3 linked regions of the Saccharomyces cerevisiae S288C genome follow. Changing the gene in region 3 together with the main gene of any one other region gives a genetic interaction. Each region holds a gene or a part of one and is shown on either strand. Other genes may lie near its edges. The genes, in order: CDC6, CDC14 and ORC6.

The links.
Region 1: mutations in ORC6 (region 3) and CDC6 impair growth when combined (synthetic growth defect), as found in Saccharomyces cerevisiae (5 studies listed by BioGRID, with this or other methods).
Region 2: of ORC6 (region 3) and CDC14, extra expression of one is lethal in a mutant of the other (dosage lethality), as found in Saccharomyces cerevisiae (3 studies listed by BioGRID, with this or other methods).

The regions. Positions count from the first base shown.
Region 1 is NC_001142.9:67,327-71,163, reverse strand, and holds CDC6 (AAA family ATPase CDC6), read right to left. Parts: upstream 1,827-3,837; coding exon 285-1,826; downstream 1-284. Other genes in the region: fatty acid elongase ELO1, read left to right, coding at 2,382-3,314; putative ubiquitin-specific protease UBP12, read right to left, coding at 3,595-3,837. UniProt on the Saccharomyces cerevisiae protein: Plays a crucial role in forming the pre-replicative complexes.
Region 2 is NC_001138.5:208,288-211,887, forward strand, and holds CDC14 (phosphoprotein phosphatase CDC14), read right to left. Parts: upstream 1,782-3,600; coding exon 126-1,781; downstream 1-125. Other genes in the region: ECO1 (Eco1p), read left to right, coding at 1-10; PTR3 (Ptr3p), read left to right, coding at 2,650-3,600. UniProt on the Saccharomyces cerevisiae protein: Protein phosphatase which antagonizes mitotic cyclin-dependent kinase CDC28, the inactivation of which is essential for exit from mitosis. To access its substrates, is released from nucleolar sequestration during mitosis.
Region 3 is NC_001140.6:343,771-347,327, reverse strand, and holds ORC6 (origin recognition complex subunit 6), read left to right. Parts: upstream 1-1,699; coding exon 1,700-3,007; downstream 3,008-3,557. Other genes in the region: histone methyltransferase SET1, read right to left, coding at 1-1,285; protein channel TOM71, read right to left, coding at 3,060-3,557.

The sequences.
Region 1 (3,837 bases), on a different chromosome or scaffold from region 3:
TCCATTCTGCATCCAGTAGCTAATGATAGTAAAATATTTGTACAAATTACGTTTTATTGTGTCTTTTTTGCAATTTCTTTGAATGCAATGTTGCGTATATCATTGCATCTCAGCCAAACGGTTTAACCGTTTCCAGAAAAAAAAAGTCTATAATATGCTATGCTGTTACAACTATAATAGAATTTTTATATAGTGATATGCTTTTCTATAAAAAAAGGAATGTGAAAAATGAGGGATGCAAGTGGAACTGTAAAAAAAAAAGAAAAAATAAATCTATTAGCTGACTAGTGAAGGAAAGGTTTCAAAATTGAAATTTTGGTCATCTCATCATAAAATTCTCGCATGTCGAGATCAACATCAATCTTATCAACAAATCTCTTGGTTTTCCCTTTACACTTTGTCTTTTTGATTGAAACCAGCCCACAAGTTTCTAAAATTGTACAGATTTCCAAAAATTCATTTCTCTGCAATGGTGCTAAAGTATCAGTTTTTGTTATCGCTTTGATATAATGATCAAACGATTCGTCGATTGTAGCATCGGAATTTAGCTTCAGTGATTGAATTATGGTGCAAAGAATTAATTTTTGCTGGATGTTTAGTTTGGCTATCCTCGTTCTCGTAGAATTATTGTTCACGAATTTTGAGAAGACCTTGGCTATGTAGTTCAAGCCTATTTTACCTTGTGGTTCTGGATACGATTTCTTTACCGGAGAAGTAGTTGGCGTCAAAGGAACTTGCGCAGAGTTCAATGATCCTCTTGTTGGTGAAAGCAGAAACCGCTTTTCTAACTCATAGATTTCGATACTTCCCCTTAAGACATCAAAAAGTTTTCGAAGGTCACCCGTATTTCCAGCACACTTCTTTGCTGCGAATTTGATGGCCATCGGTTGGAAGATAATAGTGGGCAGACTACTCATTTTTTGAATGACGATTTCATACATTTGCTCAGCAGTGTATGGCTGAAAAACTATAGTTTGCGGTAACAACCCTCTGTCCAAATTTAACCTGGAAAGAAACCTATCTTTCATATCTAGACTATTAGCCATACCGATTAACACAAAACTCACAGTAGGCAATTTCGCCAAAAGGAATAATTCAAGAATAGTTCTAACTGATTGTGTCTCGCTCGTGTTAGCATGCAATAGCCTGTCCATCTCGTCCAACACAACCACAAACGTAGTTTTCTTATGATAAGGCTCTAAGAACTTCTGTAGATGCTGCATGTTTTTTATTTGCAATGTTGGGCCATTCAGATCTTGGAAGGAATCGAAAATCTTCTGGAAAATGGAGGACGGCTCTCCCAACGATATACAATTAATACTGGTTACCGCCACGGATTCTAGCCTTCCATCGGGCAATTCAAACCAGGACAAATTCTGCAAGTTCGGATTCGTATGTCTCAGCACGTCCTTCGAGCGTGGCGTGGAGAGCGACAATGGGAGGGACTGGAACTTCTGTCTTATAATCATATCAAGCTGGGCAGTCTTGCCAGTGCCAGGCGGACCCGTGATGTACAGTGAATCGGACCTGTGTTCAGAAATTGCCTTCGCCAAAAAATTCATAACTTGTTCGTACTCTGCTGTTCTTGCTGGCAATGCACCATCGCTGCTATTCAAGTTGACTAGCTCAGATGACTTCTGCAAAAGTGCCTTTGTCCTCAAAAAAATAGACTGTGAGCCAAACTGCAGTTTTTCTGGGGATGATTCTGGTGTAACATCTGTGAACTGCAACTTTTTTCTTTTCAAAGGTCGTGGAGGCGTTGCTGGAGCATCGTCAAATAGATTTCTTCTGATACGCTTAGTTGGAGTTATTGGTATAGCTGACATGAACGTATATGGTACTATTGATGAAAATAGTGCAGCGCAGTGTTCTGAATATTCCAAAATTGTTCTTCCAGAGAATATACCTCTACTATATAAATGAAAAAATAGACTAACTAATACTATTTTTCAAGATGGCGTTATATCTTTTCTGCCAGCCAACTCAATTTCCTAAGTGGGTAATTTCCTGATCTGGAAACTCCGACGCGTGAGGCCTCGCGTCGCTTTCTTCTTTGGGTAATTCAGGGAAAACAAAGGAATGCAGACTAGCAACTAGTTTCAAAACACAACAAATCGCAAGCCAGACATATTTTGTTGAAACTACAGATATTTCTGCTGCTTTTATTACCTTGCACTTACGTGACGTGACGAAATATTAGTTCTAAACTCAGGGTCTTGGCTTACCCGCGTCGGCTTTACGGATTAGTAAACCGAAGGACATAAGGGAAAGAAAGGAAGCCAGAAAAAGAGGTAGAAGTATATAAGACTAACTGATATGAATATTAAGGTAGGATACCTTATCAATTTTAAGGAACTTGAGAGCTAAATTTGCAAGCAAGTATGGTAAGTGATTGGAAAAATTTTTGCCTCGAGAAAGCCTCTAGGTTTCGCCCAACAATAGATAGGCCTTTTTTTAATATTTATTTGTGGGACTATTTCAATCGTGCGGTTGGGTGGGCCACTGCAGGTCGCTTCCAGCCAAAGGATTTTGAGTTTACCGTTGGGAAGCAGCCTTTGAGTGAACCTCGTCCGGTACTGCTTTTTATTGCCATGTATTATGTGGTTATATTTGGCGGGAGGTCCCTGGTAAAGTCATGTAAACCTCTCAAGTTGAGATTTATTTCTCAAGTCCATAACTTGATGTTGACTTCTGTTTCCTTTTTATGGTTGATTTTGATGGTGGAACAGATGCTACCCATAGTGTATCGCCATGGGCTGTATTTTGCTGTTTGTAATGTTGAATCGTGGACGCAACCGATGGAGACATTATATTATCTCAACTATATGACAAAGTTTGTGGAGTTCGCAGACACTGTCTTGATGGTGTTGAAACATAGAAAGTTGACTTTCCTACATACATACCATCATGGTGCTACAGCTTTACTGTGCTATAATCAATTGGTTGGTTACACAGCAGTTACATGGGTTCCTGTCACCTTAAACTTAGCTGTTCACGTTCTTATGTATTGGTATTATTTCCTTTCTGCTAGCGGAATTCGTGTTTGGTGGAAAGCCTGGGTTACAAGACTACAAATTGTGCAGTTCATGCTTGATCTCATTGTCGTTTATTACGTGCTTTATCAGAAGATTGTTGCTGCATATTTCAAAAATGCTTGTACTCCACAGTGTGAGGATTGCTTAGGTTCAATGACGGCTATTGCTGCTGGTGCAGCCATTCTTACATCCTACTTGTTTTTGTTCATCTCTTTCTATATTGAGGTTTACAAACGTGGAAGTGCTAGTGGTAAGAAGAAGATCAACAAAAACAATTAACCAGTCCTTCTGTTTTGTTTTTTTCTGTTTTTCTTCCTATCTTGTATTTGACTTATATATAGACTGTTTTATTCGAAATAATCATTTTGCTTCGTTTATGTAATTTTTGTATTCATAAGCCAGTATTTTCTCTTCTTTTTTATTTTTTTTTTGGAATGTCGCGCCCAGGACAAAAACATATAATTTATTAGCCTAGGCAGTAAATAGTAGGCGAAAAAGATTGAAAAGTATTATACATGTGGAAATTTATTAATTTTATCTATCATATAAACTCATGTCATTATTCTGGCGATTCTAGTGTCACACCATTTTTTAAATTCAAATCAGCGACTTCGTTTTCTGGGCATCCCTCAGATATTTCAGACGTACTCGATGAACCCAAGCCTGAATTATTCTTGTAGACTTTTTTCAACAATCTTAACTTTCTCCTACCTGAATTTGTCCTCTCACCATCATCATTGTCATCTTCGTCGTTGCAGTCCTGAGTTTCAATATGCCCAACCTCCAAACTACGATTACTATA
Region 2 (3,600 bases), on a different chromosome or scaffold from region 3:
ATACATATGACTCTTTCGAAAAGACAGCGAGAAGGGACACTGGAAAAATGGCATAAAACTTTTCAAGGTTATTATTAGTAAGTTTTTTTATTATATGATATATATATATATAAAAATGAAATAAATTATTTCTTGATGGAGCCACTTATTTTTCTTATACCACCGGCGGCGCTTGTAGTCCTTCTCCCTGACGTTACTCTCCTATTCTTGGGCAATAGTTGTCTTAGTATGGTATCATCTGCGGCATTATTGATGTTCGTTGCGCTGGGTTCGTTATCTTCCATTCGGGACGATGAAGCAGAGGAGATATCATTTTTCTTGCGCGAAACTTTGGGATAATGATTACTTGTGCCGTTGGTATCCTGCATGGATTCGTCATCTGAGTTGTTGCTTTCTATTACTACCTTCCTATTCGCATGGGAAGTTGGATTACGATTATTGTTGATATCTTCTATAGTATTAGAACCGTTTTGGCCCTTTCTCGGCTGACCAGGCGAAGTCTGTGGGACGGCTGAGCTCTTGAATGAATTACTTCCATTATTCGCCGTAGAAGGTTGGCTCGAATTTCTGGCACTAAGCGCCCCATGACCGTTGGATGGCGGCGTCATGGTTAAATCTCTTAATTCACCTTCAATGTTATTTTGCGCAACCCTCTTGTCGTCTTTAAGTTTCTTTTTTTGTAAGCGGTATTCTTCTAAACTTATTAAGGGATATAAGCCGCCAATGGCCTCACTAGGCTTCAAAGAAATTCTGGTTGTGTACTTCCATTCTCTAAAATCATTCTGGTGTAAATATAACCAATGCTGTTGAGGGCCAACGACCATTCCCGGCCTTATAAACCTTAAGAAGCCAATACACTCGTTAGCGGTAAATCCATACGTGTATATTAAGTGAGCACCAATTAAACAACCAGTTCTACCTAGCCCAGCCTTACAGTGCACAGCAATTTTACCTCCCCTTTTAATTATCGTTTCAGCAGCACCAACAAAGTTTTTTACAATGGAAAGATCAGGACATGTACCATCTTCGAAAATTAGATCCAAATGTTGAATGCCAATGTCTTCAAAATGCTTTTTATTATATAAATGAGAATTCAACCTTACCACTAATTGGACGTTATTGTTGGCGAAAAAATTCAGAACTGACTTAAACGGCTGGTTCAAATGTGAAGATTTGGTAGCGAGATAGCCCTTTGGATGGTCCTCTTGTGGTGACGCAAATGCAATAAAATCTGGGGTGAGTACATTGAAGTCTCCAAACTCCACGTGTTCGTATTTCTCGTAACTCTCCAAATTGAAGGAATGCAAATCAATAAGGCCTTTTTCCTTAGCCCTCCAAACGCCATAAACCACATCTTGAATTGTGATTTCGAAATCCGCATTAGAATAACCGGCATCTCTAAATGGCATGAAGGGAGGGTCTACTTGCGCCAACGGCTGAAGCACTTGATGCGGAGTCCATGCCTGAACGAGGATCATATAACAGCAAAGCATACATGCGGCGTTAGCACGTTGTCTGGTCGATGCAGATGAATAGAAAACAACGGCTTTATTGGCATTTTCTGGGTCATTCAAGATTTCATGGAAAATAACGGCAAAACGATATAGATGTCCAATGTTCATGGGACCGAAATCCAAATGGAAACTGTTGTAAAAGATTGCGTCCTCCACGGTAAAAAACACCAGCTCATCAGTATCTTCCGGCGTGTAATCATATGCACCGAGATATACTCTGCCTCGCAGGAACTCGATCGTGTTGTCGAGGTATACACTCCTACGCATTTTTTTTTTTTTTTTATAAGCGTACTTTGTAGTCCCAGCCTCTGTGCAATTGTTTCGTATTATACCTCGAACGAATCGGAAATATTTGGTACATTATTGTTTCAATTTCAATTTGTTTACCTTTGAACCAAGTGAAGAAAAACTTATGGTGCTAAAAGTACATTCCCCGTTGAAAGTGATACAGCTTTCTTGATTGACACAATAGCAATGGCCTTCAAATGCATATCTCTACTATCGGCTAAAAAACGAATGACTCACGTTATCAGGCTCATAGCTTGTGTGTGTGTGTGTGTGTGTGTGTGTGTGTGTGTGTGTGTGTGTGTGTGTGTGTGTGTGTGATTGTTGTTCTAGTCGCTTGCTTTATAAAGTAACGACACTTTCTGGTGCCAATATGTGAAAACGCATTACAGAAAAAAACAGTTGTATTCTACTAAAAACACATCAGTAGTCACAGAAGTCACAGAAGTCACGTATATAAGCTAGTGGCAATCATAACTAACACAGGTGTATTAATGAAAAAATAAAGCCAAAAAAATTTCAGAAAAAAATATCTCCCGGGGGCGAGTCGAACGCCCGATCTCAAGATTTCGTAGTGGTAAATTACAGTCTTGCGCCTTAAACCAACTTGGCTACCGAGAGTCGTTTTTGTTGATTACTTTGCTATATAAAGATTCCTTTATCATTATTTCATGAGGCGCACTTTTGATTTTCACACCTTTTTCAAGCGGAGGAGTTATTCGTCTTATTAACATTACCATTACAGTAGTCATCAATGATTACCTTATCAGCACTGAAAAGATACCCGTAAAATTTAGCACACGCACACTCACACATACATAGGTACGAAATACACAACTGATAGGCGTTCATGCACTCTCATAGACAAAAGTGGGGCCGCCAGACGGATATAGCGAGGGTGCTCGACGATATAGAACACGACCTCTATCTACCGCAACGGCTATCACTCGATGGTGCAACTGGTACTGACGAATCACATGTGCAATACGGTATAGTCAAAGACTGCTCTGTGCTTACGTGTGGCTGCTGTATATCTGAATCGCTATTCAATGATTTATGCAGGGAAACTTCGAACAAGCAAACTGCGTGTCCCATCTGTCAGCGAGAAAATGTTCGACTACTTTCAGCCATCAAGCCGCTGCGAGATTTGGCTCGTCAGATTGACTTCTTCAGAAGTACTACCGGACAGGGCGAAAGCGAAAGCGATGAGCTCCCCGCTATAGTAAAGACTTCACCATCATCATCATCACTATCGCTAACGCCATCGCGCTCTTCCTCCACTGCTGGGCTAGAAGCTGATAACAAGACACTATCAGACCCTACAGTTAAGGAGAAATCATCACTGCTCGAACTCTTCCATATTGTGGCTTCGAAGATGCATAATGCGAATACAGAGGTAGGGTCGGACCACCCACTCACGACTGGCACCACCCGTGATCAAGAAGAACACACCACTAAGGAGAATTACTCAAGCAGCTTACTCGAGCCCAACTATGACGACCACGCGAACTGGAAAATCCTGGATAATGCCTCGAACACAAGAACTGTGCCGATAGATAACAACTTCTCTTTGATGTCTACGGACGTTACAATACCTTCCACAGCAAACTACCAAACAAATAGTGCACATGATCTGGACGAAGAAAAGGAGTACTTTTTTGCCAACTGTTTCCCCATGTACAGAAAAAAATTTCAGTTCAACACACACCCCAAATTCCTAGGGACGAAATCCAAATTATTCATCAACCAAAGCATTTCTCCCGATTGCACCAAATTTGCTCTAATTACTGAACACAAGTGG
Region 3 (3,557 bases):
CAACAAATATTTTGGAGACATGTAAAACAGGTCTGTTATTAACTACCCCCAAGAGATCATATGGAATTCTTTTTTCACTTCCGGACGAATGAGATAATGTGTCTACCTTAGGTTCCTTGGGCAAGGTAATATCTTTGCCCTGTAATTCCTTTGCTTTTTCGTTTTCTGCTTCTTTCTCTTTAGCCTTCTTCAGGTTCTCTTGTAACTTCTGTAGCTTTTTGACATTTATTTCAACAAATTTAGAAATGATATTATTCAAAATGGAATGCTTGTTTAAAATCACTTCGAACTTGAAGCCCATGATAAAGCAACCCGAAGATTCGTGCTTTCTAACGGCACTAAAGGCTGCTTTTGCTGCATCATTAATTTTTCCATCAGAACTGGCATACTTTATAAGATAAACATGCAAAGGTAAAGCGCTATTAGGATCATTAAATGCTTCAAAATGAGAAATTTCTCCATACTTTTTAAAATAGTTTTTTATTGATATGTCTTGGATATTGGTTGTTGTTGAATCTTGCGCTGGATAGACAACTATTTCACATGAAGGGGGAGGCCCTAAGGAGTACCTGTCATAAGATATGCGAGGCAATAGAATTAGTGAGTTCCTGCATTTTCTGTGGGTTGCCACTTTTCCGCTAGTCATGATACCGTTTTCATTACGTGGGTCGGATGCTTTTATCTCCGGATGTCTGTGTTTTATTTTGAACTTAAACTGTCCATCTTGTAACTCTTTGACTACGTAATAACCTGTTTCAGAAAATTCTTTATCTGTAGCCTTCCACGAAAGCATCTTATCCTTATTGAAGAACTCGCCTTTTATGGGATCAAAATAATGAAACTTAGACTTCAAATTATCTGTGTTGTATCTCAAAACTGAAGGTGGTCTTTGTTGCAAAAGCAGAGCAGATTCTGTGGGAAGAGATCCACTCGAAGACGCTAATGTATTGTGAACATTGCTATTTGAATACCGTGATTGAGACATGCCCCTCCGACTACTGATGTCAGATTTCTTATTTACATATGGGCCGCTTTGGCTGTTGTTAGTAGCATAGTACTGTCGCGTACTTGCATTGTTTGAACTATGTGGGCGATCGTCATTATAGCGTCGCCTTGTACCATCATTATGGTTATAACGTCGACGTTGATTATATTGACTAGAATATTGTTGGTGAGAATGGCCGTTTGAATACTGATAGTGACCAGAACGCGAATATTGAGGCTGTTCCTGGGGTTGTCTGTATGAACCAGAAGACGCGTGTGCTCTTCTATAGTAATTTGACATTCTCTAAACGCAGAGACCTCTTATAAAGATTCAACAAATAAGGAATGTTACCTATGCTAGTCGCAACTCTCTCGTAAGTTGAGGGTTGCTAACAGAAAAACGATGAGAAGAAACTTTTGAAAAATATTGTGTGAAAGCAGCACGAAACAGAGTATGAAAAAAGAATGCGGGCGTCCGTAAAGAGCTAGAATCGCAAGTGTCCAGAATATGCAAGGCTTTCGAATACACTCCTCACGCTTCTCTTCAGCAAAAATCAACTCTTTGTGATAAAACTGTGTATTTCTTTGTTCTTTGCCGTTGTTTACGTTAGTAAGAAATCGGCATTGAAAAAAAAAATCTCACACTAAAATTGCAGAAAAAAGTGTACAATATCAGTAAATAAAATTGGCCAAAACAATACCATTAAAACCAGTCATGTCCATGCAACAAGTCCAACATTGTGTCGCAGAAGTACTTCGACTAGATCCACAAGAAAAACCGGACTGGTCGAGCGGATATTTGAAGAAGTTGACTAATGCGACATCGATTTTATATAATACTTCACTGAACAAGGTAATGCTGAAACAAGATGAAGAGGTTGCTAGATGTCACATATGTGCATACATAGCGTCACAGAAAATGAATGAAAAACACATGCCTGACCTTTGCTATTATATAGACAGTATTCCCTTGGAGCCGAAAAAAGCCAAGCATTTAATGAACCTTTTCAGACAAAGTTTATCTAATTCTTCACCTATGAAACAATTTGCTTGGACACCGAGCCCCAAAAAGAACAAACGCAGTCCAGTAAAGAACGGTGGGAGGTTTACTTCTTCTGATCCGAAAGAGTTGAGGAATCAACTGTTTGGTACACCAACTAAAGTTAGGAAAAGCCAAAATAATGATTCGTTCGTAATACCAGAACTACCCCCCATGCAAACCAATGAATCGCCGTCTATTACTAGGAGAAAGTTAGCATTTGAAGAGGATGAGGATGAGGATGAAGAGGAACCAGGAAACGACGGTTTGTCTTTAAAAAGCCATAGTAATAAGAGCATTACTGGAACCAGAAATGTAGATTCTGATGAGTATGAAAACCATGAAAGTGACCCTACAAGTGAGGAAGAGCCATTAGGTGTGCAAGAAAGCAGAAGCGGGAGAACGAAACAAAATAAGGCAGTTGGAAAACCGCAATCAGAATTGAAGACGGCAAAAGCCCTGAGGAAAAGGGGCAGAATACCAAATTCTTTGTTAGTAAAGAAGTATTGCAAAATGACTACTGAAGAAATAATACGGCTTTGCAACGATTTTGAATTACCAAGAGAAGTAGCATATAAAATTGTGGATGAGTACAACATAAACGCGTCAAGATTGGTTTGCCCATGGCAATTAGTGTGTGGGTTAGTATTAAATTGTACATTCATTGTATTTAATGAAAGAAGACGCAAGGATCCAAGAATTGACCATTTTATAGTCAGTAAGATGTGCAGCTTGATGTTGACGTCAAAAGTGGATGATGTTATTGAATGTGTAAAATTAGTGAAGGAATTAATTATCGGTGAAAAATGGTTCAGAGATTTGCAAATTAGGTATGATGATTTTGATGGCATCAGATACGATGAAATTATATTTAGGAAACTGGGATCGATGTTACAAACCACCAATATTTTGGTCACAGACGACCAGTACAATATTTGGAAGAAAAGAATTGAAATGGATTTGGCATTAACAGAACCTTTATAACATATCCAGTATTAACTAAAAGTATATATTTGACCAATACCTGACATATCTTCTAAAGCATGCCTTTAGCCCTATAACGAGCTAATGTTAGCTCCATCTTTGCACTTATGATTGGATCAGCCCTCAAACGCTTTTGTATCTTTGCAGCTTCCGCGAAGGTAGTAGCTTGAAGTTTTTCATCCATAGTTCTTGCTAAAATTGCAGAATCTTCAAACAATTCTATGGCCTCGTCAATTTTTTCCATTTGTAATTTTAGTTGTGCTAACCCGATCTTCGCTTGTTCAGATCGTGGATCTAATTCACAGGCTTTTGTCAGCAGCTTAATGGCTGCGTTGAATTTCTCTTCATCCAACTGGGTTGGATCTTGAGAGGATTGTCTAGCTAATATAGTTGCTTTCCCAATCAAGGGTCCTATACCCACATGTATTTTTTCTTGCACTTCTTCCAACCTTTTAGCAATATCATATTGTTTAATTGCAGTATCAAAATCGCCCCTATCTGTCAAGATTTCAGCGAAAAAGGTGGGCACCTCAGGTAAGGTAGGAAACTT